Alligator mississippiensis: one gene and its partners. The protein of the gene in region 4 purifies or fractionates together with the protein of the main gene of each other region. This does not show direct contact. Links are inferred from orthologs where the notes say so. Each region holds a gene or a part of one and is shown on either strand. Other genes may lie near its edges. The genes, in order: PURB, RPLP0, TUT1 and LARP7.

What was found.
Region 1: the proteins of LARP7 (region 4) and PURB purify together in Homo sapiens (affinity purification with mass spectrometry; 3 studies listed by BioGRID and IntAct, with this or other methods). This does not show direct contact. The link is inferred for Alligator mississippiensis from reciprocal best matches to the Homo sapiens genes LARP7 and PURB.
Region 2: the proteins of LARP7 (region 4) and RPLP0 purify together in Homo sapiens (affinity purification with mass spectrometry; 3 studies listed by BioGRID and IntAct, with this or other methods). This does not show direct contact. The link is inferred for Alligator mississippiensis from reciprocal best matches to the Homo sapiens genes LARP7 and RPLP0.
Region 3: the proteins of LARP7 (region 4) and TUT1 purify together in Homo sapiens (affinity purification with mass spectrometry; 4 studies listed by BioGRID and IntAct, with this or other methods). This does not show direct contact. The link is inferred for Alligator mississippiensis from reciprocal best matches to the Homo sapiens genes LARP7 and TUT1.

The regions. Positions count from the first base shown.
Region 1 is NC_081830.1:10,716,136-10,723,490, forward strand, and holds the start of PURB (transcriptional activator protein Pur-beta), read right to left. Parts: upstream 3,007-7,355; coding exon 2,017-3,006; 3' UTR 1-2,016. Other genes in the region: cytochrome c oxidase subunit 5B, mitochondrial, read right to left, coding at 4,970-5,082, 5,277-5,376, 5,465-5,535, 5,635-5,743; protein FAM178B, read left to right, coding at 6,448-6,684, 6,774-6,843, 6,980-7,245. UniProt on the Homo sapiens protein: Transcriptional regulator which can act as an activator or a repressor.
Region 2 is NC_081833.1:21,250,270-21,258,223, reverse strand, and holds the start of RPLP0 (large ribosomal subunit protein uL10), read right to left. Parts: upstream 3,016-7,954; 5' UTR 2,941-3,015; intron 2,532-2,940; 5' UTR 2,483-2,531; coding exon 2,429-2,482; intron 1,838-2,428; coding exon 1,662-1,837; intron 1,558-1,661; coding exon 1,470-1,557; intron 1,146-1,469; coding exon 999-1,145; intron 651-998; coding exon 465-650; intron 52-464; coding exon 1-51.
Region 3 is NC_081838.1:3,241,964-3,249,083, reverse strand, and holds the start of TUT1 (speckle targeted PIP5K1A-regulated poly(A) polymerase), read right to left. Parts: upstream 3,018-7,120; 5' UTR 1,463-3,017; coding exon 1,054-1,462; intron 786-1,053; coding exon 595-785; intron 510-594; coding exon 300-509; intron 1-299. Other genes in the region: metastasis-associated protein MTA2, read right to left, coding at 3,417-3,579, 3,749-3,897, 4,213-4,367, 6,268-6,357, 6,689-6,917. UniProt on the Homo sapiens protein: Poly(A) polymerase that creates the 3'-poly(A) tail of specific pre-mRNAs. Localizes to nuclear speckles together with PIP5K1A and mediates polyadenylation of a select set of mRNAs, such as HMOX1.
Region 4 is NC_081825.1:125,983,103-125,990,115, forward strand, and holds the start of LARP7 (la-related protein 7), read right to left. Parts: upstream 3,009-7,013; 5' UTR 2,915-3,008; intron 1-2,914. Other genes in the region: protein ZGRF1, read left to right, coding at 6,272-6,292, 6,403-6,483, 6,598-6,654. UniProt on the Homo sapiens protein: RNA-binding protein that specifically binds distinct small nuclear RNA (snRNAs) and regulates their processing and function.

The DNA of each region.
Region 1 (7,355 bases), on a different chromosome or scaffold from region 4:
ACCTTCCCCTCCCCCCCCAAAATAATAAGGGGAAGATGGACACCAGGGTCTGCATGAAATTAAAAAGGCAGCTCAAATCAAGAGGACGGGCATGCAGCTAAGAAAAAAAACAAAAACAAACAACTGATATAGCCTACGGTGTCTCACAAGGAATACCCGAAACTTTGGAATGAACAGTGTCGCTTGCCATTCAGTTCCAAGTGACTAGGATACGAACACGCGGCGAAAATACCTTGGCTTTTCTATCTTTCTCTTGGCAGAGGGGGGGGAGGCGAGTGACTGGACTGAGCTAAAGAAAAAAAAAAAAGTGAAAAATCCAGTTAAAAGCTAAGGAGGAGGGATTCTTGCCCAGCTCCCTCCCAACCCCTCACCCCTCTTGCAGCTCAGCTCCAGGATCGGACTTGCTGGCTTCAGCTGAGATCTCAAGGTGGTTGGGAAATCCAATGCCGCCAGGGCGTTTCAAGAGTCACATAGTGGAGCTGGGGGCTTCGGCCGCCGTGAGCAAAGTCCCGCCGGCTGCCCCTCAGGCGTGTGGTTGTTGCTGATACAATGTGCTGTGAGGTACTGAGAGATCTGGGGGGACTGGGCTGGAACCTTTGCCTTTGCTCTCCACTCTCCAACCCCAGCTGGAAGGCCACATCCTTGCTGATTTCCCTACAACCCCTCCCCCCCCAGGAGCCAGTTGGCTCCGATTTCTTCCAGCCATTTCTCTTCAGAGACAACCTTATTTGGAGAGAAAAGAGGGGGGTGCAACTTCCCCCCAGCCCCCTCTCTCTTCCCCTAGCTGCCTTGTGCTTCGTGCCCGATTTTTTGTCTTCAATTTACCCTCTCTTTGCAGCCCTGTGTTGAAGGTGTTGGGATAGATATTCAAGGGAAGAAAAGGATCCAAATAAAGAAAGAAGGGTCCTTTAGCTCTGGAGAGAACTGGCAGGTTTCTCTGAGAATAGGCTGCTTGAGAGGGGTGCTGGAGAATAGGGGTCCAGTATGGAAACCAGCCATTCAGCAAAGGAAACCAAGATCAGCCAGGACATTGGTCCAAAAAGAGAGAAATCAACCCACCCCCGGTTTCCCCCTATACTAGGTTCATCCCTCGCTAGATGCCCCTCAACCTCTCCTCTGTGCCCCTGTCTTCTGCCCCCTCTGGTTGATTTCTAAGTGGAGGGTGATGCCCCCCATCACCACCCGTCTTTCTTTGGGTAGCGGCAGCAGCCTGGATGCTGGTTTCATTGGTGGAGCAGGCAGCATCTCCAACGGATGCAGGGTGGTGGTGGGGGGATCCATACGACACCCCCACTTCTCAGGGCCCTGAAGATATGGGAGGTTCCCAGCTTGCCTCAAGATGATGGGGGTCATGGCAGGTCTTCCAGGCTGGTAGAGCTCTGATGGGGAGTGGGGAAGAGTCCTCCGGTCCAGCAGGATTCCCCCAGTCCAGCGGAGCTCTGATGAGGGCACTAGCAGGCCTCCCAGTCTGGCAGGGCTCCGATGCGGGAGAGCTGGCAGGTCCTGCAGTCCAGTGAAGTTTCCAGGGAGACTTGCAGAACTCTGGAGGGAAGGTGAGGTGGTCTCTCAGCCTAGCAGATTTCCAAGGGGATCCCCCACTCTGGCATGGCTCCAGGGGAATCCCCCAATCTGGTAAGGGTCTTGGGGCACTGGCAAGCTCTCTGAGAGGAGAGGGATCCCACACTCCGGCAGGGCTCCAGAGGGATCCCCCAGTCTGGCAGAGCTTGCCCACTCCAGCAGGGCTCTGGGGGAGTCCTGAAGTGCAGGGAAGCTCTCGGGGGCGGCTGGCAGGACACCCCTCCAATGGGGAGGATCCCACACTCCAGCAGGGCTCTGGCAGGATCCCTCAGGCCAGCGAGACACTTGGGGGCGCTGACAGAGCTCTGATGGGGGGATCCCCCAGTCCAGCAGGGCTCCGGTGGGATCCCCCAGTCCAGTGAGGCTTGTGGGGGCATAGGTGCTGGCAGGGCTTGGGGTGGGGGGGGTCCATCCTCTCTCGGGGGCACCTAGCGGGGCTCAATCGTCATCCACATCATCCGCCTCCGAGTCGTCACCAGCACCACTCCCGCTGCCGGGCCCTGGAGGCCCCGCTCCTCCGCCAACTCCCCCAGTGCCCGGCCGGCGGTCATACAGCTTGTCGCGCTGGCGCTCCTGGATGTCGCGCATCTCATCAGCATAGCGGCAGAAGGCACCACCGAACTTGGCCCAAGCCTTGTAGGGCACGGTGATGGCGTTGCGGTAGGCTGGCTTGACCTCGCTGACACGCAGGAAAACACCATACTTGTTGCAGCCCACGTCAAAGAAGAAGCGCTTGGAGTCCACGGTGATGGACGTGCCCTCAGGCAGCTCTCCACTGCCTGCCCCCGCGCCGCCACCCAGCGCCAGCCCTGGCTCATCGTCCTCGGCCCCGTAGTCGTCCAGCAGCTTGGCCAAGGCATCGCGGAACTCGATGAGGCCCTGCGCGGGCAGCGCGATGGTCTGGCCACTCTGCAGGCCAGAGGCGCCCGCAAAGGCCCCGGGGCCGCGGTTGAGGGTCTGGCGGATGCGCAGGAAGCGGCCACGCTGGTTCTCCTTCAGGTCCAGGTAGTACTTGCGGTTCTCCCGCACCAGGAACTCGCTCTTGAGCGCGCGGCGCGGCGGCTCGTCGGGCGGCGAGGCCGAGCTGGCGCCGGCTGGAGGCAGAGGGTCGGCGGGGCTGGGCCCCAACTGCGCGTAGTGCTCGATGAAGTCGCCCAGCGCGTCACGTAGTTCAGCCGCCACGGCCATGGACAGCGTGAGGCGGCTCTTGGCCCCGCCGGCGCCCACCTCGGCGATCTTGAGGAAGCGGCCCTTGGCGTTCTGCTTCACGTCCAAGTAGAACCGCTTGTTCTGGATATCCAGCCGCTTGGACGCCAGCTCCTGAGTCTCCTGCTCCGCCCGCCCCGGGCCCGGCCCCGCGCCGCCGCCACCGCCGCCGCCTCCCCCGGCTCCACCGCCGCGCTCGCTGCCGCTGTCCCCGTCCGCCATCTTCCCGCCCCGGCCCCGCTGCCTCCCGCTTCCGGCCCCGCCCCGTGACGTCACCCGCCCTGCCCCGCCCAAGAGCGAGGCTAGCTCCGCCCACGGGCTAGCTGCCCCCAAGGGGTGGCCGCCGGGCGTGCCCCGCCCCCCTGCCCGTGATGTCACCAGGCGGGAGACTGATGCACCTCCTAGGGGCGGAGACAAAGCAGGCCACAACCCCTGGGGTGGAAGCGAGGCTGGCCCCGCCCACGAGAGAGGGAGGTGCGCCCTAGGGCTGGCACCGTTTGGCCACGCCCCCGGTGATGTCACCAGGCTGGACCCGCTCAAGGCAGAGGGCCGCGGCTGTGAGCCTGGTCCCGCCTCTAGACACGCCCACAACAGTCGCAGGAGCCCCCCCCGGTAGCCACGCCTCCATGGCTGTCAGTCAGCTGGACCCCGCCCAAGGCTCTCACTGCGCTGTCACTCAGGCCCAAGCCCCGCCCATCGGCTCCTTGCCCCTCCCCTTCCCCAGCAGACCCCGCCCCCGGGACAGCCAGGGCAGCCCCCCCTGCCGCGCCCGCCAGTACCAGGAGGCTTCGGGAGCAGCTGGTCTGTGGGTACATGGGGTGGGGGCACCGTGTGGGGGATTGTGGGTAATGCCGGAGATTGGCGGGACAGGTGCCAGGGGCAGCAGGCAGGTCTGGGAATCCCCGGCATCCAGCATGGGGTGGGGGGAATCCATGGCCACCTGTTTGCCCTACAGCACTCCAGAGGCCTGGCATCCAATTGTTGAAATGGGGAGCAAACCCACAGGTCTTGGTCTAGCTCAGCATCATGGCCCCTGCTGCTCACAGGGCCCCATATCCCCCAGGGCAGCATTACCACCAGTACAAGGGTACCCAGATGAATCTTAGGGTGCCAATCACTCTGAAGCATTATAGGCCCAATGCTGCTTCCAATGAAGTTTGCAGGAAAATTCCTGTTCTCCCTCCCCCCATGCAGCCTGTTTATTCCTTTTACTCATTAACCCCCTTCAGCCCCAGCCAGAACTGATGTGGGGGGCAGGTAGCTTCCCTCCACAGCCCCAAAAAGCTCCTCTGGGCTGGGAAAGCTTGGGTGTGGCCCAGCCCAGCTCCCTGCCTCAGTCTCCCCTGGCACCTTCCCTCTCGTATCACCCACAAGGGCCAGGCTGGTGGCCTACCCATGGAATGCTACCGAGCCAGGCTGTTCTACTTGGGCATCTGCTCCTCCCCAGAGGTAGCTGCATTTTCCCCGGATTTGGCCCCCAGTGGCAGCAGAGGGTGCAGGAGAGTATGGAACTCAAGTACCTGGGCAGTGGGCATGATTCTTGGGGGCTTGGGCCTGGACAGGCAGGGCTGGCATGCAAGTGGTTAATGCAGGGCTGGCATGCAAGTGGTTAATGCAGGGCTGGCACCCCCCTCCCTTCCCACCAGTCTTTGCTGCCCTCTGGAGGTTAATACAAGCAGTGCCACTCGTGCTATCCCCAAAGTTTGAAGGCAGGTTGAGCTCTCCCTACCATGCATCTGGAGGGCATCTCCTCCCCCCTACATAACAAGAACTCACCCCCCAGGCAACATGCACAGGCCTTGGGTAGAAGCCAAGCTCTCCCTCCCCATCATACCTGGGACCTTGTTCCCCTTCCCAGAGCAGTAACCCGTGCCACGCTGGGCTGGGACTGCTGGCTCATCCGAGGCTGCTACTACTCCCAGCACCCCCACACCACATGGGGCCAGTCCTTTGCACCGCTCCCCCAACATAACACAAATCCAGGGTCCCTGCCCCAGGCTGAGGCTCTCCTGAGGTGCAACGAGCGTAGAGGCACGACTCTAGAGAAGGCAGATACACCTTCATCCTTTGGCCCCAGGCAATGAAGAATACAGTGCAAAATAGGAGACAGTCACAACTTTATTGTTCTCCCAGAATCAAACATAGGGGCAAATAGAGTAGAGCAGGTCAGGGCAGGGCAAGGAGCTCAATGGGGCACCTCATGAGGCACCAGCTTGTAGTAGGCCCCACAGGATGGGCAGCGCTGTGGCTCACCTTTGTGCAGCCAGAACCAGATGATGGCACTGTTGTCCTCTTCACCTGCCAGGAGAGAGTGAGATCAGGGTCACAGCCAGAACATTTCCCCTCCCACCCTCAGCTGCTAGGGGTGAGACAGAGCAGGACAAAGGGCTACTTCTGCCCCCTAACCCCCAGCTCCAGCAGAGCCCTTGTTTTCACCTCCACCCCAGGCTCTTCCCCTAGCACGTCCCCACTACACCTGCCCGGACACTCACAGATGCAGCCGACAATCCGCTTTTCATTGACAGATGGCACCAGGGTGGGGTGCTCCCGGGTCCCCCCCTGGCTCTTGGGTGGGAACATGCTGTACGGGTCCTGAAGAGAGGAAGGCGAGGGCATCAGCACCTACCAGGGCCCCCAGAGCCCCCCATGCCTGGTCCCAGTCCCCGCCCCCCGTGCTCACCGTTCCCTTCTTGACAGCCTCCAGCACCTTCCGCTCCAGCCCGGTTGCCTGCTCCTCGTCGGTGGGGACGCCTACAGGGCGTGCAGGGAACCACCGCGTCAGTCAGCCAGGCCCGCCCCCCGCCCTTGCCCCGGACGCCTGTGTCCTCCACGCTCCCCGGCCCCCCTCACCTCCGGCGGCGGTGCGGGCGGGCGCAGCAAGGCGCAGGACGAGCGCGGGCGAGTGGCGGGCGCCCAGGGCGCGGAGGGCGCCGTATGCGCGCAGAAACCGGGCTGCCATAACGTCCAACAGAGACTACACCAGGCCGCTTGACGACTGCGGCTACTTCCGGGGACAGCGCCGGAAGCGGGGCGGTACTTCCGCTGAAGCGCCCGGCGGGAATTGGCCGCTCCGCGCCACGTGGCCAGAGAGGCTGGGGGTAGACGGGGGCGGGGTCTCCGTGAGCCCGGCGAGGGGGTGACCTTGGGTTTCTGCCGGCGACTGCCACCTGCTGGCCGGGGGTGGGTTTCCAGAGGACCGCCCTGCGTGCTCTGATTGGGTGCGTTTGACGGGGCAGGTGCGGCCTCTGATTGGTCCGGCTGGCGGGGTTGCTGATTGGGCGTCGCGCGGAGGGGAGCGTTGGGCAGGCGGCGGTTGGGATTCGGAAGGCGCGGAGCACGTGGCAGCGGGAGCGGTGGGGCTTTGGCTCCGCCCACAAGGGCAGAGGTCGGGGGGCGACGACCCCCAGCTGGGGATGGCGCCCAGGCGCCCGGCTCCAAGCACTCCCCTGCTCTGACCACTAAACCCTACTGCCTTGCCACGTGTGACGTCACGGGGGCATCGTGTGACGTCAGGGGGACAGTGGTGTGGTCACAGCGAGTGCTTGCTTCCCCACGCAGGCCCCAGCTCCCAGGAAAAAACCATCCTGGAGGCTTCACCCCCTGCATCAAGTGCCAAGACACTGTTTCTCCCCGCTCCAGGCCCCAGTTCTTCCCCCTGGCACCATGGCCCAGCAGGCGGTGGTGGCCCCAGTGCCCACCCCAGAGCTGCCCATCCTGGGGGGCCTGCGCTGGTACCAGATCCCACTGTCCTCGCTGCGGGCGCCCAGCACGGGCCTCTTCAGCCGCCGCTTTCAGGACAGCCTGCAGCGCTACCGCCAGCTGCGCCTCACCAAGCGCCTGCGTGTCGGCCGCCCCTACGCTCTGCTCGGGGACCCCGACCCGGCCTCCCCGCCCGCCCAGGTGAGCCCTTTGCCCCTGGGGCAAGTAGGGACAGTCCTGGGGTAGATCAGCTCCCTTCTTGTGCCCACCTGACCCTGCTGGGCCCACAGGATAGCAGGAGCCAGCGACCTAGAGGCAGTAGAGCCCGGAGCAGCCTGGGCCTTGCCCCATGCCGAGCAGGTAACACCAGACCCCTCCAGGTCCACCGTCGGGCATCAGCCCTCTCTGCCCCCATTACTCCTACCCCCTGGCACAGCACCAGGCTCTGCTGAGGAGAGCAGGAGCCATCCAGTGACTGTCCTCCTGCCCTCTGAAGCCTCCAGGCACTGGCGCGGCTCCAGGGCCCCCCACCGGAAGTCCAAGAGGATGCCGCATCTGCCACAGGGCACCAACACCAGCCCTGATGAGGCCTTCCCAGCTGACTGGAGCCCTGTGCAGCTGGACTTCCTTTGCCAGGCTGGTATGGTGTCCCCCAGCCAGGATACGGCTGGATCTGGGGAGAAGCAGGACGATGAGGAAGAGCTGTTGCCCCTGGCGCAGCTGCTGGGGGGAGCAGCACGGATCCTCCCGGAGCCTGGCATGGTGAGTGTCAGGTCAAGGGCATCACTAAGGGGTTGATGCGTATTGCTGGGCACATTCCTGCCCCCAGGAAGTGTCCAGCAGTGCCTTGAGGGGTGGGGGTGGGGGGGCAC
Region 2 (7,954 bases), on a different chromosome or scaffold from region 4:
AATGGTTGGGTAGCCAATTTGCAGACAAACGCTTGCAACGTTACGAACACCCTGAGGAAGGGGAAAAGAAGAACTTGTGTTTCTAAGCATTCAAAAAAAGTAGTCAGAACCCCAAACCCATTTCCAAGTGTGTGTTCTCCGTTTCCTCTGAATTTTACATGTAGCACAAGGAGAGCAAATAGGGTCAGAACACAGCATCCCTCTGGGAAGAAACTCATCTCAACTCCTATCATCTTTTCTAGGTGATTCTGTTGCAGACTCCAAGGAGAAGCAAGAATAGGGTCTCAATGAGACTGCCCTGGTTATTCAGGACTGGGAGGTGTTCACTTTTGGATGATACTTGTTCCAATAGGAAAAGATAAGCCTGCCCAGTCCAGCTTTAGACGAGATATCCTAGTGGCTACTCCTGTGCTCTCTGTGGTCTAGACCAAGCATGGCATGCAGCACAGGCAAGCAGCTCTTACTTCCAGGAAGCGGTTGTGCAGAGTTTCCTCAGTGATGTCCAGCACTTCTGGATTGTAAATGCTGCCATTGTCAAACACCTGCTGGATAACCAGCCCAAAGGAGAATGGGGAGATGTTCAACATGTTCAGCAAGGTGGCTTCACTGGCACCCACTTTGTCTCCAGTCTTGATCAGCTGCACGTCGCTCTGAGGAACAAGGAAAAGTAAGCAACCAGCTGCAGGGAAAACCAGACACAGAGGTAGTAGTTCAAGTACACAGTACTGAAGGCTACAAGTGGGACTGAAAGACTTGCACCAAGAATGCTGAAAGAAAACAAGCTCAGTGCTCGGCTGTGATCTATAAATACAGCAGCAGCCTGTGCAGCAAACGGCGCGTTTTTAAAACAACATCTAGTACCAGCCTGGCAAACCAGGTGTGTACACCAGAGCATTTCACACAGGAAGCACATCTGTGCTGTGCAAGACCCTCACACCTCACCACAGGAAAGCTAGACCCTGTTTGCTAGCAGCTACTAAACACTGCTTTGCACTCACCAGGATTTCAATGGTACCCCTGGAGATCTTTGTGGTGATGCCCAGAGCCTGGAAGAAGGAGGTCTTCTCAGGACCCAGACCAGTGTTCTGAGCTGGCACAGTGACATCACAGGGGGCAATGGCACCGGCACGAGCTGCCGCTGGCACCTAGAACCAGGTAACAGGGACAAAAAGCAAAATAATGCTTATCTCAGAAAGAAATGCAGGGTATTAACTCCTCACACAGCTCCTGAGAGACCGACATTGCCCAATTATATACAAGACAAACGGAGACAAAAATACATAAAACTAGAGTCAGTTATCTAGCAACAACACCAGAAGCAGACCCCAAAAGGCAACGAGTCTGCGCCCCTTCCGGCTTTCTAAACTAAGATTCATCATGAACATCCCATACTGAGCTCAGGTCAGACCCTAGACCTCCAGGACTAGGGGTGCTACAAAGGGGGTTGCTACAACACCCTCCACCTTTACCTTGTTAGCCAACAGCATGTCTCGGATCTCAGTCAGATCCTCCTTGGTGAACACAAAGCCCACGTTTCCACGGATGTGAGGCAGCAACCTGAAGGAGATACAAAAAAACACTGTTTGGTTTCACTCTTTCCAACAAACTCCTCCCTGCCTGGGAAACAGAAGCCAGGTGTGGAACAGGACAGTTTTACTCACTTTTCCAGAGCAGGATTGTTCTCCAGGTGACCCCGGATAGCTTTGCGCATCATGGTGTTCTTCCCCATCAGCACAACAGCCTTCCCACGCAGGGACATGCGGATCTGCTGCATCTGTTTGGATCCAACGTTGTCTGCTCCCACAATGAAGCATTTTGGATAATCATCCAGTAGTTGCTACAGAGAGAACAGAAGCAAATTAGGCAAAGAAATCCAGACCAAGCTGCTGAACAATGGCATGGCCCAGATAAAGCACACGTGAAGTTTGTGCTTGCGGCTGTATGTTGGTGAAACCCGTTTTAACTCCATGAGGGACCGACACCTGGATGACGCTACCCTTGCTAGACGTGTGGCTCTAGCGAGGAGCTGCAGTTGCCATTACAGTCACATATTTCAGAGCACGCCGCATCGCACAACCAAACTGCACTCAGCTGGAAAGCAGGTGGCGTGGACAGGGCTCCTGTGCAGCATTTTTCTTGCACGCAAGCTGGACTTTCCCCCTCAACACAAGCGCTTTCTTTCCAGGGACCCCACACAGCCTCTTACAGCCGTGTAGCTTGACCTCAGTAGCTGCTCCGCACAGCAGCATCAGCCAAGTCCCCCAGGAGACCGACTGCCGTGTGTACCCAGCTGGCACGGAGCAGCTTTATGAGACGGGGGTCAGATCCACGTCGGCTGGAGCAGCGCCTGCAGCGCTGCTGCCCGGCCACACGCAGCAGGGCCTCAGCGCCCAGCCCCGCGCACAACCAGTAGCTGCCGGGCACTTACGATGATTTTCAGGAAATAGTTGGACTTCCACGTGGCTCGGTCTTCCCTGGGCATCGTGCCGGTGCCAAGGATTGCCGCGGACGGTTTAAAGACGAGGCGAGGCCTGCGGGAGGAAGCAGCAGCGCACACTCAGTGCTCGCTCCGGGCACACGAGCACCGCCGGGCCCGCGCCCAACACAGCCCACGCCGCCGGCATCGGCGGAGAAAGAAAATAATGGGGGGGCGGGGTGACCGCGGGCGCATGCGCGCACCCCCTCCCTGCCGCAGTAAAGTCTGCGAGGGAAAGGACTGGGGGAGGGGCAAGAGCCGTGCGGGGGATCGGAGGCCTCCCCGCCCCTGGGGCCCGGAGCGGAGCCAGCCTCGGCCGGAGCCCCCGGGGCTCCCAGGCCCACCCCACCAGGCCAGACCCTACACAGCCGGCATGTGGGGGCGGCCCCAGCCTTCCGCCGCCCATGCCCAGAGCCCGCGGGTGTGGCCGCCACCGCCCGGCCCCGGCCGCTCCACGCTCCCACCTCCACGCGAGCTACGGAAAGAAAGAGCGGGCGGTGGTCCCTCCTCCTCCTTTTGTATGCCGAGTCTCAGCCAATCGGCGACGGCCAGCGAAGGACGGGGCGCCTTGCCGCCCATTGGCCACGACGGGTGTCGATAACGGGGACGAGTCGGGCTCGCCCCTGCTATTGGGCAGAAGGCTTGTCGCTCGTGAGGAAAGCACAGGCTTTTAAAGGAGCCGCAACAGCGGACGGGCCGCTGCCTACAGCTAGGGCGCCCCCTGCTGGAGGGGACTCTCCGAGGCGCCAGAGCACTGTCACTGCCTCGAGGTCCGTGTCACACCCGACCCCGGGGCCGAGGCCCACCGGGGAGTCACCCTGTAGCAGCCCTGATGCAGCAGGGAACACACAAGGCGCCCCAGTGGGACGAGGGCACCATGCCCGTAGGCTCCCCTTGAACGGGGACCAGCAGGTGGGAGCAGCACAGGCCCCTGCCTGAGTCCACCAAGGGCAGATCCACGGGGTTTGGCTGGAGGGCTCAGCACTTGCGCACACGCCAGCTCCTGTTGCCAGGAACCGCCTGTGGTCTGAGAGGAAGAAATGATTCTTTCGAGAGAAATAAGGCGATGTGCATGGAAATGGGCAGAGCGGTGAGAGACCCAGCTGCGATGGCTGGACGACCACCACCCAGCAGGAACCTGAGTGGCTGGTGCTGTTTTTCCTCTAGGAACATGACCAGAATTGTTTGTGATCAGACCATTTTAAGACCAAGACTGTTCTTCCAATGATGAGGCTCAGCATAGCTGCAAAATGACTTACGTTCTGACAAACAACGTAGATCCCAGTTATTGCACACAGCGTGCCTGCCAGGGAGAATCCCAATGTTTATTCCTGTGTGTACATCACCATACCAGAAATGTATGTAGTGCTTTGATTTTCCAATGGAGTCTGATCCCAATCTCTCTTCACACTAGCATAATTTAGGAGATGCTCTATGCCATGCAGTGAATAGAGTTAATGTTGGCATAAGCCTAGTGTGAGACCAGAATTAGGCCCATGGTTGTGACCACGTAACGAATAAACTTGTTCAAGGCTAAACCACAAGTCAGGGGCAAAGCCAGGAACTGAGCTCACACACCCAAGGATCCAAGGCTTGCAGCAGGACAGTAACTTTCCAGGTGCTTCTGGCTCTCCACTGTCCAGCCTCCTACACTGAAACCAAATATTTGAGGAATGCACTAGAACAGAGGGTCCCAATCTGTGGTACAGGTACCACCAGTGGTATGCAGGCAACCTGTCAGTGGTATGAGTTAACATTCATTATAATTCCTTTATATGACAAAAATCTGCTGGTGGTACTTAAAGCTGAACTGAAAAATTTACTGGCGGTATTTAAGTTTGTATCATTTTAAACTGGTGTGCAATCTGTCAGAGTTTGGGAACCACTGCACTAGAACCTACCCACAGGATAAAACGCCCCTGCTGCAACACACATGTTAAGGCAGAGAAGACATTTATGATTTGTAGGATGTAGATGTAGGGAGGCAAAGACATCCTGCATAGCAGGAGGATGGTGATCCTTCCTCAGTGCTCTGTTGTTGTTACTCTATTAAACCCAGCAACTGAGGCAGATCTAAGTATTTGATCAGATGGATGTTGGTTCAGTAGAGGAACTGCTCGTGGTACAGTACTCTCTCTGGTTTGTTGCAGAAAATAAACCCATTATATGCTTCAACAAGAGAGCAGCTCAGCCAGGAATGCAGAGTGTTTATTTGCTGTTTCTCTTCGAGGGGGTGTTCCTGGTGGTTCCAATCAGCCTCCCAAAGCTGGACCGAGATTTCATTTGGTCATAAGCACCAGGCAATAGAGCCGATTTTACAGGGAGTCCTTGCCGTTTCCCATTCTGAAAGGGCTCATTTGCACCAGAGAGTTGTGTAAGTTTAACTAGAGATAGCATCTTTAACCCTGTGCCAAAGGCTGACTGGCTGCTCAGGTTTAGCTTCAGATCAATAAGGAAGGGATTTAATCCAAACCCAAATATGCTGCTCTTAACCCCAAGAAGCGTAAGGGCAGGGGAATGTACTGATTTTAAAAACTCATTTACAATGCACTATTTTCCATGTAGACAAGGCCAAAGGCTTCTTTCAGCCCAGATGATTCCATAGTACTTCAGTGTAATAAAGACATGGCATCACTGTAAGCAGTGAGTTCCTTGTAGGGAGAAAGAGGGAAGGGCATATATCTTGGCCAAAACAATTGGAACAAATCATAAATCTTACAACAAAGTCAAAGTTCTTACATGTCTGCACAGGAGATGGCTCATCACTTCCTAATGGTCCCTGCAGAAGGCACACAGTGAGCCATGCATATTCATCTCACCACTCCCACAAGATGAAGGGTTAGCTGAAGGGCTGTGGTTCCAGCAGCTAAAATATGTTTCAAGCCTGAAGCCCAGTCTCAGAAATCAGACCCTGTGACTCCAAAAATGCTTTTTATAGGATTTATATGATAGTTACACAAGTCTCCCCTTTGCCAAACATGTGCCTCTTTCTGAACCCTGTGTGAGAATCAAAGTGAGGATTATGCCACATGAAACCCAGCCCAGTGAGGGGTTAGTAGCTCCAAGGGGAAGAGGAGATGCTTCACACCCTTCTAATGCTTCCATCCAATTTAGCAGTTCTGTCAATGGGCTCTAGAGGGAGTGATGAGACCAGGCTTTCCCCAAAGCTCCAGGCTCCCTCCCCTCCTCCCCACTTATCACAAGGAAAGGGGGCACTGGGCTTGCAATCCTCGGTGTGGCAGGTGAGAGCCATCACCCGGACAGGATGTGGGTGAAAGGACGTTCACCACACACTCACTACAAATCTGAGGGTGTTCTCTGGGACCCATGTTCACTGACCTCCATAGAATCATACAAAAGTTGTGCTTCTAGTGGCTTCAAAAGGACATCCTTCACCACTCCCTACTCGAGGAAAGGTCATTCATTCCCATCTGAACCATCCCACAAAAAAACATCTGTTTAACCTGCACCAATGACAGAGGTTCTCCCTGGGCCACTTGCTCCATCCAGGGCTCAAGCAGTGTCAGTTAGAAAGTTCTTCCTTTATCGCCTCTGTTGCAATTTAAGCAGATTTGTGCTCAACAGTTCTTTTCATATTTGAAATCCCTCCTCAATCTTCTCCGAACTAAATAATCCCAATTCTTCCAAGCTTTCCTTATGCTACGTTTTCTAGACCTCTAATCTTTTCTGTTGTTCTCCTCTGAACTCTGTCCAATTTGTCCATCTCTTTCTTAAAATGTGATGCCCAAAACTGGACACAGTACTTGACAAGTGAGGCCTCACCAATGCTGAACAGAGTGGAAGAATGATACTCCAGTTAAGATTGCTTAGTATGCTGTTGGCAGTTTTTGTGACAATATTACGCTCTTGATTCATAGTTTTTAATTCACTCCAACTCTCAACCTCCTTATACGTAGTATTGCAGCCCAGCTAGCCATGCCCCTTCCATCTCTGTGTTCAAGGCTCTGCACTATGTAAAGGAAGCCATAACCCACCTACCAGGCAGTCTATGAGAAAAAGAACATCCCTGGATTTATACTACAATACCCACCATATCACGTATGCCTTGAAAAGATTCACTCAGATGCTTCCTGCAAATGGGCTCAGAGAAGATGGTTGGATACTAGTGAAAAGTTCATCTCATGCCATTCTCAGTACAGAATGCTGTATAGTTTTGCTTTCAGCAAAAACTGGAGGGTAGCTTGGAGCTTCCTGCCTTCCTGGAAGGCCCAGCTGATGTCAACATCCCTTTTCTTCACAGCTCTCACTCAGGCAGCAACATAATGAAAGGTAGACAAGGAAGGCCCAGTTCTTCAGCTTGGGTGGTTCCACCAAGGGTCAGTACTCAGGACTCAAGTTACTTCTGGAGTCAGTACCTCTACCGGACCCAGAGCAAGAAGCTGCATAGCTCACCCTTGATAGGATGAAGGGAGCTCTGTACTTGGAAGTGGGAACAAAGTCAGAAAGCAGAAAGTGTTACTGAAAACTATTTGTGATTTACAGTAGGTCACTGAAAATCTATAGTAATCTTTTGTTTAGTGCCTGTGAGAAGAACTGGTGAGTCTTAATCAAGTATCCATAGGCAGCAGGTATTCATGTCACAACATTCACCTCATGACAACTGTAGTGCTTCTCCCATGGGCAGTGGCATCAGGGAAGCCAAGAAACAAATGGAAAACAGAAGACTAAACAATGCAAATTTCTCTCTGACCAAAAAGGTTGCTCCTACTCAGACTGCTTGTATAATGGAGTTTGCAACCCTCTATATTAAATACAACAGTGAAGTAATCTCTCTACCTAGAATCCTAGGCCAGGAGGAAATGGCTAGTGCAAATAAATAAATAGAGAAGCTAGCTTTTTTTTTTTTATACATTAAAAAAAAAAGAAGAAACCTTATTCCACAACCCAGAGTCCAGACACACATGCCAACAGGAACAAGCTGGGTGGTTTGTGGTCTGAGGCTATGCTAAACCAAAACAGCAGTATATTAAGCAACACATTTAATGAGAAAATAGCGTATGAACAGGGTCAAGTACTGGTACTCAGAAAACTGCACTCTGCCTTCCATGTAGTCGTAAGTTCTAACTCATGGACTTTAAACACTTACAGAAAACCTTTGGATTTCCTGCATATAATGCACGCAGTGTCAACAGCCAAGGATTAACTAACTTGGGAGCATTTTAATCGTAGGCATTACTGTGTCTGGGCTATTGTCTGCCACCCAGAAGCTGCTGGTACACTGTGATTCCGACTTGGGAATTTTAATAACTTAGCTCAGGTTGCAGACTATAAAGGCCACTTCATTTTCTTCATATCCTCTACTCAGAGATCTGGAGAAGTGATTAAACCAGTTCCTCTTAGGGCAAACTGGGAGTTAACTCAAGCCTCCATAAGAGGGGGTGGAGATTTATTCTTTATTAAAAACAGCTTTCCCGTGAGCTCAAGTTCTCTGAATTATTTGTGCATACTATTGTGTGC
Region 3 (7,120 bases), on a different chromosome or scaffold from region 4:
GAGCTAAAACCATTTATCATGCGCCGATCGGTTAAGTGATTAATCACTTAATGGTTCACATTCCTACTCTGAATCAGACCCTCCTGGAGCCTCGGTGCTGAAGGCTCCCTGTGGGAGAGGGACGCCCTGCTCACACCCGGCCGCTCTCCCTCCATCTGGGGGACCCGGGAGCCCAGGCCAGGCAGACCTAGCGCCCGAAGTCCACGGCAGAGGTTACAGCCTTACGTTGGAGAAAGAGGACGTCAGCCGGGGGCAGAGACCACGGACCCCCGCGTCCCCTTTTCCCAGCACACACTCACGTCCTCGGCCTGGCACAGCTCCTGCTCCAGCTTCTCGGGACTCAGCAGCTCGCGGCGGGCGCCCCCCTGCCGCTTGGGGGGTGCGTAGGCAAACTCCTTCTGCTCCCGAGGCTTCACCCGCAGCCGCTGCCCCCCCACGCTGTGCTGAGGCTGGGCCAGGACCTTTTCCAGTGCCGCCTGGTCCTCCAGCTCCACGATGGCGTAGACGCCCTGCGGGGAACAGCGCAGGGAAGCCATCAGGGCCGGCGGGGCAGGAGGAGGGCTGCCCGCTCCCCCCCCCAGCGCCGGGACTGACCTTGTCCTTGTCCATGACCACGCTGGCCACGCCGCCAAAGGCCTGGAAGTAGTCGCTGAGCTCGGCCACGTCCGTGCCCTTGCGGAAGCCGCTGACGAAGACGCTGCGCTGCGCCTGGGCCTGGCGCTGGGCCCGCAGCCCCGCCAGCCGCCCGTGCTTGCGGCCCCGCAGGTGGTCGTCCAGGCTGGGCCCTGCCGGGGGCAGGGCAAGGGTCAGGGGAGGGGCACAGGGCAAGGGTCAGGGGAGGGGGAGCGAGGTCAGGGGTCACTGCCTGGGTCTAAGGTAAGGTGCTCTGACGCAAGGGGGTGAGGTCAGCAGCCAAAGGTTGGGGGGCTCAGTCTGACCCTACAGGTCAGAGGTCAGGCCAGCGTTTCAGCCCCGCCCTGACCCACGTGGTGACCTCTGACCCCCCACGTGGTGACCCCTGACCTCCCCCCACTAACCCCGCCCCCCGCTCACGGTTGGCGGCGGTCACGTGGCAGAGGCGGCAGCGGAAGCCCCCGCGGGGCAGCGCCTCCACATCCGGCTCCATTCCGGCGCGGGTTCCGCGCGGCCGGAAGTGTCCGTCCCTGAGATTCCCCCGGAAGCCGCTCCCCGCCGGAAGTAGCCCGTCCGCGATAGGCGTCCCCCGACAGTCGTGTTTCCCGCGCCTTCCCTGCCGGAAGTGGTCCGTCCCCGATAGGGCTCCCTCAACTCCACCCGCCCTGCCTAGGACTCTTCGTTCCCGGGCCACAGGAAATGGTCCGTCCCGCCAACGTGCCCCCCGCTCCTTCCCATCCCGGCCCCGAGGAGCCCGCCCGGAGCACAGAGGAGGGAGGGAGGGAGGGAAGGACAGAGAGAACACCGCACCCCCACTTCCGGCCTCCATTGCACTGTACCTGCTGTCCCCCTGGCCCCTGAGCCGTGGCGGCCGACCTGGGCCACGCGCTGCCCGCAGGCGTCAAGGTGGCGGCCGCCCTCGCCTTCCACACCGTGGGCACCTACCGGGCAGGGGCCGGGGCAGATGCGGGCACCAGCCAGGCCAGCGTGTCCCAGGACACGGCCGCCCTCGCCCGTCGCCTTTGTCTGCTTCCCGACGCGGCGTGCGGGGAGCCCTGGGCTGCACCCACGTGGCCCTGAAGCCGCCGGACACCCATGGCCTCCCCCCCTTCGAGGGGCACCACGACGGGGCGGGTGGCTGCCGGGCGAGCCCCAGGCACCTCAGGCACCCTGCTGTGCCCCGCACCCCTTGTAGGGGGCCGTGGGCTCTGCGTGCCAGAGCAGGGCCAGGCCGCCGTCCCTCCCACCAGTGGATGGGAAAGGACTCCTAGGCGAGGCCGGGAGACCCTCCCCGCGCCGAGGCCTAGCGCCGGTGGCAGGGTAGAAGCTCCTGTTATGGGGGCTTTGCTGGGAGACAGCTTGGGGAGGGTTGGGGGCATGCCGGGGGCCCTGCCCTGCGATACCCTGCCTGAGCCAGCTCGGGATCCCCTCCTGAGCAGGTGCATTCCCAGGTCCCTGCCTTGTTTTTCCCTCCAGCCAGATGGGGCTGTTCCAGGAGCAGGGCCCCTGCCCTGTCTTACCCCGGGGCCTGCCTGGATTGGGCCCCTGCCCTGTCCCCACCCCCCTGAGCCAACTGGGACCACGCCTACTGCCTGCTTCACAGGCGGGGCCCCCACTGCAACCCCCCACCCTGGACCTCTTCAAGAGAAGACTGGAGTCACCCTGCTGGGGCACCTGACCCCCGTTATCTTCCCTGCTTGGTGCAGGGGGCCGGACCCAACGATCTTCTGAGGTCCCTTCCAGTCTTACGCTCTACGAACCCTAACCCCATCGCACGTGCTCTCCGCAGGTGACAGTATGATTTGCTACCCTACCTACTGCAGCCCTGGCTGCTGGTGCCAGCGGAGGCCCAGTGTTCAGCAGCGGAGCAGCACTATCACGTGGCCGCCCGGGCTGCTGTGGGGAGGGCTGAAGGGGCAGTTCCAGTGCCTAGCACGCTAGGGTGGGCCGGGGGGGGCTGCAGTACATGCCCCCAAAGGTCTTCAGCATCTTCCTCGCCTGCTGCATCCTGCACAACGTGGCTGTGGCTCAGGGGCTGTCCCTACCCTCGCTTCCAGGGCAGGCCCCCCAAGGCACATCCCCCTCAAACCCTTTCCACTGCCCCCCCTGCCCCGAGGGGCTGTGCCAGCGCCAGCAGCTCATCGACAGCTTCTTCTGCCACCAGGAGCTGAGGGACAGGAGCCCCCAGACATGGGGGTCATAGCCCTTGCGCCAGTGCAGTAGTGTGGGGGTGGGGAGCTACCCCAACAAGCTCCACCCAGGGCAGGGGAGCAAGGCTAGAGCTGCCCCAGGGAACGAGGCACCTCCAGGCCCTTGGCACTGGGAGGAGGGGGTATGGAGAGACCCCAGAGTTGTGGTCTGACTGCATTCTCTGTGCAATAAACCCCTCCATGGGCCTTGATTGCAGCTGTATGTCTGTGCCTGGCTCTCCCCCCATAAAGGAGATTGTAACACCCCCCCCAAACCACAGCAGTGGCAAAGGGTGAAGAAAAGGTGTCGTTTTATTTCCCGGTTGGTCACTATAAGAACTGGTTACAGGGCGAGGTACAAAAACACCCCGGGGAGGAGAGAGAAGGGCGGGCAGGCGCCCTCCCCTCTGGCCCTGGGGGGAAGGGGGGGGTAGGTCACACAGACAGGAAGTAGCTGCATTGAAGGGGGCAGCCCCAGAGGCCCGGACCCCCCCCTCCGCCCTCCAAGGCTGGGCCCCGGCCCCCCCAGCCACGTTGTGGGAGCATACATGGAAATAAAAAAATATAAAAAGGAAAGGCCCCCCCCCTCCCGGCTCAGTCCTCCAGGACGATGGGCTCCGTGGTGCTGGCGGGCCGGGCAGGGGGCACGGGCGCCAGGGGGGCAACTGTGGGGCGTGTGGCCTTGATCTTGAGGGGCAGGTTGGGCCGGCGGGCAGCTCGCCGCATCTCCAGGTGGGTCAGGGCTTTGCGCAGTGCCCTGTAGGGGGGGAGGGGAAGGTGGGGGGGAGTATGGTCACAAGTGGGGGGGAGGTGGGTACCCCCAGACCCTGGGGGCAGCCCTGGTGTCCTCCCACCTGCCCCCCACAGCAGGCCCAGGCTCCAGCCTGCTCTGGAGCCCCCTCTCCCAGACCCCCACCCCCCAGTACCTGGTGTCCTTGGTGGCAACAAAGACGACAGGGTTGGGGGCATCAGCTGGGTTGAGCTTCTGGCGCTTGGCGGCCGGCTGCGCGCTGGCCCGGAGCCCTGAGCTCAGGGGCCGCCCGTTGGCTGAGAAGGGGACGCCACCCCCCACCACCTGCGCCGCCCACGTGGGGGGGGTAGGAAGAAGGGAAGCTCAGCTGTGCCCTGGCTCCCCAGTCCAGCCCTGGCCCCCAATCCTGCCCCAGCCCCCTACCCCAGCTGTACCAGGAAAGCCCCCACTACTCCCTCCCCATCCCACCCCAGAACCTCCCACCCTGCTGCTGGCAACCCCCTCCCAGTCCCTGCTCCATTGCCAGGTAGCCCTTCCCCCACTACGATTCCCCCCACTTCCCCCACTATGATTTCCCCCTCAAGCCCCCACCCCTCTACAGCCCCCCGCGCCCCCCGATGCCTGACAAAGCCCCCCCACCTTGCGTACCCGGGCCACGCGGTGCGCGTCACTGGCCCCCTCGTAGGCCCTCTTGCCCACGATGCCAGCCAGGCCCCGGCTCTGGCTCATCTGGTTCCGGTTGATGGGTGTCTTGGTGCCACGCGGCGTCTTGGGCTTCAGCGGGGCCTGGGCCGCTGGGTAGAGGAAGAAAAAAGGGGGCTGTAAGAACCCCTGTGGAGGCCTCCCAGTGACATGACAGTAAAGAGGTGCCAGGCCAGGTCCAACCAGTGCCCCGTTCCCAGCCCTACCCCTGACTCCCAAGCCAAGTTGGTGGCATTGGCTGTGGGGAAGCCAGAAGTCCGGGGCCATGTCCGGGCCCCGTCTCAGAGCAGGAGGTGGCCGAGAGGTGCCTGCTGGCTCCGGAGATACAGAAGAGCATATGCTCTGCCAGACGGGGTCAGACCTTAGCTCTGTCTGGCCCAGTCTCCCGTGTCCCCCAGTGGCAGGGAACAGAGTGACTAGGTCCGAGCAGGGTTTTCCTGTTCCTCTCCTACGCGCAGCGTCCAGCATGAAAGGTCCAGGATGTTCCGATTCAGAGACCGTGCCCTTCATGCCCGTGCTCCATAGTGACTCATGCCCCTTTCCTCCAAGGACATGCCTGGTCCCTTGAGGAATCAGGCTGAACTCCCAGCTTCCCCCACACCTGGGGCAACAAGCCCCACAAGTGAGAAAAAACTTCCCGGTATTGGTCCTAAATTGGCAGCCTGCTAGTTTCCCTGTGATTCCTCATGACTTCATCTTCCCCAATCAGTGATTTATAAACTCTTCATTTTTTCCACCCAAGCATCTCTCTTCTACACTGACCAGGTCTGGCCTTGTTAGCCTCTCCTCCTAGAGAAGCCCTTCCAGATCACTAGTCAGCCTTGCTGCCCTTCTCTGGACTTCTCTATCCTTTTGGAGGTGCAGGGATCAGCACCGGGCAGCGTTCCAGAGCCCTGAGCTGATGTTTATAACCAGCTGCCCATGGTGGCTCCCAGGTCTCTTTCCTGTGTGGTGACAGCTCATGTAGAGCCCATCACTGCATGCAACGCTTCTGTCATTTCTGCCCATGTTTTAGGAGCAGTGGGCATCAGCCAGGTCCCTCCTCAGCCCGAGCGTGCATCTCCAAGCTGCCCTCACCTGTGCTTAGGGCACATTATTCCACAACCCCCGCTCCTGCACAGAGCATTGCCACGGTCCAGAGAAGGGCAACTACCATGATGAGAGGCCTGGAGCTATGACCAGAGCAGGAGGGACTCAAAAGGCCAGGACAACTCAGTGTGGAGAAGGTTGAGGGGTGGCAGAACAGGTCTATCATGTCATGACAGGTGTGGACCAAGGGAACTGAGCTGTTGGTCACCAAGTCCCAGGTATAAGATCTCAGGGCACCCACTGACGTGAGCAGGGTTAAAACTCACAAGAGAAGGGCTTCTTTACTTAGCACCCCATTCCCACATGGAATTCGTAGCCACAGAAGCTGATGGAGGCAGAGAACGGAGCCAGGGGCACAAACAAATCCATGCAGAACAGATCTACCCCTAGCTGCTGAACAGAACGGGGGTGGAGGGAGGGGGGGAAGAGTTTCCTCTGAGCTGCTGTTCTTCTGTCTGCCAAATCATGCCAGAATTTTCCCAGAGCCGGGAAGGAAACAGCGGGGCTTTACCATGAGGTCCCAGAGCTCCCTTCCTTCTCATTGCCTGGGATGGAAGGGGGGGGACCGCGGCGCAACAACGGGACAGGACCATGGCCCTGTGCTCCTTGTTGACACCTGCCGGGAGGCAGCAAACACACCCTGACCTACCTGGGCAGGAGCCTATTCAGTTCCCATTCAGGGCCTATTCAGTCCCACTCCAGTCCACCAGCTGCTCTGGACCCCTCCCCATCCCCAAGACAGGCAGGGCGGGGGCTGAGGGATGGCGCTGGGCCTATCTGTCTCTGTGCAAGGGGGTTGGAGTCCCTGCTATGGATACCGATGGCAGAGAACATCCCCCATAGATGCTCAGGGACCCTAGCACACAGAGGCCTCCCACCTTGCCCCACACACACCAGCCTTACCCAGCTCCTTGACAATAGTGGCCAGGGGCAGCCGTGCCAGCGGGTGGATCTTCAGGGGTGTCTTGGCTGCCTTGGGGAGGCGAATGGAGCCTGCAGAGGGGAGGGGCAGGGACCAGGTATCAGGCAGGGGGGGTACAGTGGACAGTCACACCACTACCCAGGCTTGCTTACACCCTGCCCCCCCAAGCACATGTCCCTACCCCTGCCCCAGGCACTCTCTCACCTCCCACACACACATACCGCCCCATCCCCACTCCCAGGCACATGCACCCCCCTGCCCTATCCTGGGCTATCACATACTTCCCCTGGCGCACACACTCAGCCTTGATAGCACTGGCATTCATGGGCATGGCAGTCTCCCTCACCTGCCCTACACTCCTTGAGCCCCCCCCACCCCTGACCTTGCCCGGCTCCTACGCACACTCAGCCTTGATAGCATTAGCATTGATGGGAGCATAGGGGCGGCGGGCGGCACGCCGGGGCTGCAGGATGTCGCGGCAGACGCGGCGTGCCAGGCGGGTCAGCTTCGTAGTCTGCAGCAGGAAGGTCTGTCTGTTCTTGGCCAGCAGCTTGGCTCGGCTCGCGCTGGTCGTGTAGGGTGACAGGCTCTGCGCCTCTGGCCGTGACAAGTGGCCCCGTGAGTGTGGCTCCTGCCGACCAAGGGGGTGGGGGAGATCAGGGCTGGCTCCTGGAGACCCCTGCCCCCCAAACATAGCCCAGATGCAACCAAGGGGGTGAAGACCAGGGCTCCCCTCCTCCAAGAAGAGCCACAGCTGGCTCTCGGGAATCCTCTTTCCCCCACAAAAGGGCTATGGGGGAAGAGAGAAAGAAGGCCCAGACCCCAGGGGGAAGT
Region 4 (7,013 bases):
TAACATCTATTACAGGAAGTACGTTCCTGAACTCCCTGACAAAATTCACTGTAAGGGATCTAAACCATTTACTTGGATGGCTGTCCATTACCTTGGTGAATATACAACTTTCACATGTCTTAAGAAGGAAATAGGCAGGCAAGGTTCTTTGAGTAGATGTGATATCTTTTATTAGACCAACTGAGTAGTTGGAAAAAAGTTCTTAGCAAGCTTTTGGGTGCAGTCACTCTTTTTAGACCAACACAGCTACAAGCAAAAACCCCTTAAGAAGGAAATAACATTTGAATTTGTAGTTTAATCTTTAAAAGTTTGGTCTTTAAAAATCTGTATCTTAAACTTATAAACATAACTGTCTTGCTTGTATTGATTTATGGCCTTATTTGCCTCTGACATCCACACTAGCTCACACATTACTGCTAGGGTTTATAAATGAACTTGCTATTTTTAAATTTCTTTATCTTCTAAAGTAATATTTAAGTTGAGGCAGAATAAGTTTATTCTGATTTTCCCCCCTAGCTCATTGACCCTATCTTTTTTTTTTGCAATGCTGAACATTCTTTTGGTCATAGAATCATAGAGAAGCGGGGCTGGAAGGGTCCTCTAGTCCAGCATTTCTCAACCTATGGGTCACAAGAATATATGAAAGGGTCACGAAAAAAAACTTTAAAAAATGGATTCTCCTTTAAAGGAGAAAAACTTGGAAAACCGTGGCTTCTCCCTTGCAGGCTGTCAGAGTTCCAGCCTGCAAGGGACTGCTTGGGGCCCCCTATCCTCCATTCCCCAGCTCTTGCCCCATACACTGGGGGCTTGGGGGCAGTGGGTCAGGAGTGAGGGACACTGGGCTAGGACTGGCCATCAATGTTTACAAATGGGTCCTGGTACAAAAAAGGTTTGAGAACCACTGATCTAGTCCAACTCCCTGCCTGAGGCAGGATCATCCCTATCCAAAACATTCCATACAACCATAAATCTAAACTTTACATAAGACTAGCCTCAACCCTGACACAACATCAGCCTGTACCTAACCTGCCACAGGTAAAGCAAATTTTGACAGCATATTTTTATAAACACGTACATTTGTATTTTTGAAGATGATTTAAGAGAGCTTTAGTGCTTTGGATTTATGTTTAATTCATGACTGCAAAAATGTTCCGAATGGTATTAAGGAAAATTGTAACAAAAGCTCCATTTTAACAAACATAAACAGATGAGATGAGCAACAGCTTCAGTGTTAAAATGTAACTACTGCTTACAAAATAAAATTTAATTTTGTTCACATATGCACACGTACATAGCACTTCATACCAAAAGCAAAAGTAAATGTAACTTTGAGAGGTTGTGTTCAAGTACTTGAAATTGTAGCATAGCACAGTTAGCAAGTTTAAGTTATGCTGATGTCTGTAAGACCTGATCTTAAGTTTCAGCCTCCTGTTTCTTCAGTTTGTCTCCCAAAGAGATCTCCCTAAAGAGAAAGCATAGGCCTCCCTGACAGTTTAAAAAAGCAAATAGAAAATCATTTTTGACAGGGGCAAAGGACTTCTAGATTTTGTTTCATAAAGAACAGTAACCTCAGATGCATAAGAAAGAACAAATAAAGAAAACAAAACAAATAGTCTCTGCAGTACAAGGTGTTAATCACTCAGCATTTCATGCCCTGTGAAAGGTCTGTTGTGTATTAATCCATATTTTTTTGTTCAGGACTGTAATGAGGGCCATCCATTTGAACATTAATGAGTTTAGTGATATATAATGATTTATTTTTAAAAGCCTAGGGACAGCATATCACTTAGTGATCATGGACCTTCAATGGCAGCTTGACATTTCAGCCCATGTACTGCTGTCCTCTCCGATTCCCATTCCGCTTCAGCCTTGAAATAGCACCTCAGAAAGGGTGATGTTCAAGGGAGTAGGAAGAGAAAATGGGAGCAAATATCAAATGTCAGCTATGAACCTGTCACCTCAATGTGAGAACACGCTTATTTCCAAGAGCACACTGATGCAACTAGGTAGTTTCCTGGGTAGCACCTGATCTAGGGCATTGGACTACATGACCTCCTGAGATCCCCTCCAACCCTAATTTTCTGATTCCATGATGGGAGGAGCTTCACAAATGTAGGCAGATATAGTGCAGACTTTCTTGGACTAGCCCACGGGTTGGCTAATGGGAGAAGGTTCACAATTTTGGGTAGGGCCCTGCGGGGCGATAAACTCAGGAACAGACCGTCCTGAACGGGAACCATGGGGCCGGAGGGGAGAAGTGGTACTACAGGAAGACAGAAGAGGATGGGAAAGAAACGACAGATTATCTGGTGGAGAGGGGCCTGGCATAGACTTTTTCAGGGGCAGGCCCTCTGAGGAGGGCAGTGGGTGGGGGTTCAGGTATGGAAATGGATGCATGGTGTGAACTGTGTAACACGTTTTTAGTGTGATTTGACCTGCCAAGTGAACCACAGGGGCCGCTTGGTAGTATTGAAGGTAGATATCTATAGATAGGTGCATGCACACGTGTGTATACACGTCTTGCCCGTCAGATGCTGGGCCAATGGGGTCAGTGTCAGCTGAGGAGGGCCTGACTTCTTCCCACTAACAAGTAAGAGGGAGCTGCATGAGTGTGGGCAGGAACACCAAGCCCCCTTCAGCCCACAGCACGACGGCCAGGGCAAAGCGGGGCCTGGGGGCAGCGCACATGCTGGAGGGAACCGCTAACACATGCGCGGACACAGCCTTTGCACACGACCCCACCGGAGCAGGACCCCCCACAACAGCCAGGACGCGGCTCTGCGACACGCGGAGTTCGCGCGCAAGCTGCTACAGGCCCCGCCCCCTCCCCCATGACAAGGCCCTGACGTCACAGCATTCCCCTTCCAAGCGCCGCGGTAGCTCTCGCCCGCCCCTCCCCCCCAGCGGCACTGACCTGCCAACGCCGGCCGCTCGGGGCTTCTGGCAGCGTCACGCGGGCGCCCCGCGGCCACAACCCTCCGCGCCTCCTCCAGCGCTCCGCCGTTCCGCCCCGCCGTCACGTCACAATCAACGCGACGCTCGAGTCTCAGAGCGAAAGCTCCGGGGCCAGGCCAATCAGCGAGGGGCGCTCTCGTGACGTATTACGCGCACGCCGGTTGCCAGGGGCCGACAAGGAAGCGGCTTGGTCCTGTTCCCCTTTCCCGTCAGGCGAAGCTTGGGCAGCCGGGGGCCTTCTGTGCCGGCGCAGAGGAACAACGTCATCGGCAGCTGGCGCGGGAAAGCTTCAAAGTTGAAAGGGTCCGGCGGTCACTTGGTCCCTCCGTGAGGTGGGTACGCACCTTCCCTTCGCTTGTCTCCATGTTACTGCCTGGGGGCGGGAGGTGGGGTAGGTTGGGGCGGGCTGGGGCTGGGGCTGGGGCTGGGGCTGGAGCCGAGCCGAGCCGAGCCGAGCCGAGCCGAGCCGGCCTCGGGCCCGCGTCCCGTCCCCGCCTGGTTACCTGAACGCAGCGTTGCCACACCTTAAATATGAAAGTACCCGCATGGGAAGCTCAGAACGATCGTGTTTGTTTGTTGAAAAGCGATCGTACCCTGAGAAATCTGCAAATAAATATGCCAATAACCCATCTTTTTAAATTTATGTTGCTCACTAATCGCCAGTGTGTGAGTGAGACCTGGGTCAGAGTCGAAGCATTTCTTTATTTCAAGGCAAGCAGGCAAAAGAAAACACTGACAGCAAACCCAGAAGTTGGCCTCTTGTGGGCTAAAGTGAAGCAGGGGCATCTCTTGGGCCTGCAGGTAGGATGCCTGCCAGTGGATTTGGGAGTGTCTGAAGTCCCAGGGTGAAAGCCTGGGACTGCGTCCTGCTTGCTCGGTCGATATGGATTTTGGAATGATTGAGTTCTGCTCAGTAGTATGATGTGGAACTGATCTGGTTGATTTGACCTGGAACATGAAATGTATTAATAATAATAAAAAAAGCCAAGCCCCCAAAGTTGGGTACGACCCCCGCTTGACTCAGGGCTGTCACCCCCAACATTTTACAATGTGGCACGGCTGCAGCAGCTCATCATGGTGGGTGGGTGGGTGGGTGGTACAACTACTCAGCGTGCTGCATCATGCCTTGTCCCATGTGGACCAGGCTGACAGTTGTTGCAGTGCCAGGATTGCACAGTACCAACAGGATGGTGGGGCAGGGGAGTGTTGGAGGAATCTGCACACTGTCTGGCCCAGCCAGGTCCTGGCTGTGGCAGAGTGGAGTGGTGTGGGGCACAACGCTCCCTCAGGCTTCCAGCAGTAGCTAGCAGTGTGGATAGGATCAATTGGCATCTCCCTGGCTCCCTCTCCCCTTTCCTCCCCTCTCCTCCCAGGCCTCAACAGCTCACAAAACTTCACATGTGGCCTTTCAGCCCAAATAATTGCCTGCCTCTGCTTTAAATGATGTGAAAGAGAGGGACTGTTAAACAATCCTTGTAATAAAAGGAGTGATGGGGAAACAGACTTATTTTGATCTTTCGTAACCTGTTAGCATTAGAAGAACTTTGAAGTGGTACTGATCCTTTCAGTTAGTCCCAGTCCAAAAAAAAAAAAAGATGAAAGTTGATTCTTTTTCTTTGGCTTCCCCTTTAATTTCTTTCTTCCTTTGTTGTTGAAAATATTTCAAGGTTGTTTGTGAAAATTAGGTGATGTTGTTTTAATATTTAATGATAGAACAAGAACAGCCAATTTGATGTCATTTACAATTTTAGCAGCTGCAGTTATGTTCTTTTAATAGTCAATGAACCAGGGGAAAACAGAGTCTGTATTGGTGCCCCTATTATTCAGCCTGCCTTAAACTTGTTTCCATTGAGTTTGCATGACTGCTTCTATAATTCCCAGTATTGTTCTAGTTCCATTTTGTTATTAAAGAAGAGGTAAAAAAAAAAATCTGAAAACTACTCTTCTCTTGAGTAACATGTTTATGTAAATGGCTTTATTTAATGCTGGAAGTCCAGAATCCTCTTCTAGCACTAGCACAAAAATGATGATAAACTGTAGAATCTGCCTTTTCTGTGGGAACTAGCATTTACACAACTGGAAACATGATTTTTCTATACAGCTGAACCAAGACTGATAGCGAAAAATATGGGAAACAGGAAAGCCCTCTGGTGGTAAGTTGTAGAATTTGAGCATTTGAAGATTTTTTTTTTTTTTTTTTTTTTTTTTTTTTTTTTTTTTTTTGCTTAATAAAGTAATGAAACCAATTGCACAGTTTGAGACTCATTGCCATGAATCTCTCTCATCTCTAATACCATAAATCAGTTGTATTTGACTAGAAACTGTTCTACAACAATGACATTTATTTTTACAATGTTGAATCAGTGTGGATCCCAGGAACAGAATGACAGATTTTAGCCACAGCATTGCAGAGTCCTAGGGTGTCTGTAGATGCGCAGGGATGCTGCTTCAATGTGCTGTAATTATAGCATTTTGGAGCAGGCTTGATTTAATTGAGCCTGCTGGAGTGTACTAATTGGTTTCACCCATGAACCACAGTTTGGTAACTACTGGTATGGTGCTTCAAAGTTAAAATATAGTATCTGTATTATCGATCCAACTATATTTTTATTAGGCTGGCTATCATGTAGTTTCCTATAATTTCTACAGCTGTCCAATATTTCTTGGCTTTCCATATTCCTTTTCTTATGTATGATTACTTTTAAATACTTTTTCATTCATTCATATTGATGTCTGTAGAGGCAGCCAGAGATTGCAAGTAGTTTGGGAGCATGTGCCAGTACTAGCTATTTCCCTGTGGTCGATTTTCATCATAGTGCCAGTAGCTAATAAAACTGACAATAGTTTCAATGAAAGTCCAACCCTTTGAACATAGACACAGATCATTATATTTTTATAAAATGTTGTTCTTTGTTGACTGGCTAACTGGGGGGGGGGGGGGGGTCAGCAGCTTAAATTTTAATGGGCCAACTTGTTATGTGTAAAAACAAAACAAGCAAACAAAAAAGGATTTTTCAGACAGTGGGCATTCTACATTTTCTGAAAATCATACCTTTTGAGGTAACCTAAGTTCTTATTGCCAGTGTGCATGAAGATTATGTTAATACGATAAAGCTTCTAATTTTCAAAGTGCTTTGTAAAAATTAATGGCTACATTTTCAGAGGTATCAACTGAGTTAAAATGAATGGTGCTTTGCACCTCTGTAAATTAGATTATTTGCTGATGTCTTCTAAAAAAGATATTTGTCTCCTAGGTAGCATGAGAGAGTGAAAAGTTGCAATGTAGACCTTTGATGAAGCAAAGCCATCCAAAGCAATGACTTGTCAAGAGTTTACTGTAAGTGTTTTTTATTAACAATATATAAAATTCAGTTAAATATTTCTTGTGTTTGTGCAACAACCACTATAAATTATCATTTCAGTAATTATCACAATTTTATTCAAAAGGTCTTATACACTCATCAGAAGACCAAGAAATCAAAAGTATGGCAAGATGGGGTTTTGAAGACCAGCACTGGAGGAAGTAAGGTGAAGAGTTCAAGTTTAATACAGTATGATATATTCTCTGAGTCTACCAAATCCACTCTGCTCTTTGAAATGCAGTAATTTGATTGTTTAACATTTCACTATGTTTCAATGCAGGCGACCTTATTTGATGACAAAGGACAATGTTTGGAGAGCATATTTGTCAAAACTCAGGTATATTTTTAACACTAAAAACTTTAGTCTTTGTTGGGACCACTATTCATCTTTGCACAGTCTAAAGTTCCCTGTCCTACTATTTTGTCTAATATATTCTGATTTTAGAAGTTGTTACAAATACAGGATTATAAATGGTCAGATGTAGCATATTTTTGATCTAACAAAGTATAAAGCATTATAGTAGCAGATTTTCACTACAGCGGATAACGTCTAATAAATGTGCTTTTTGTGGATAGCAAGTATCATTGTACTGTATAGTGCAGGAGTGGCCAACCTGCAAAACTGGCACAGACAGCCTCTTTGTGTGGCATGCAGGAGATTGGGCAGGAGACAGGAAGTGGCAGATAAGGCAGGAA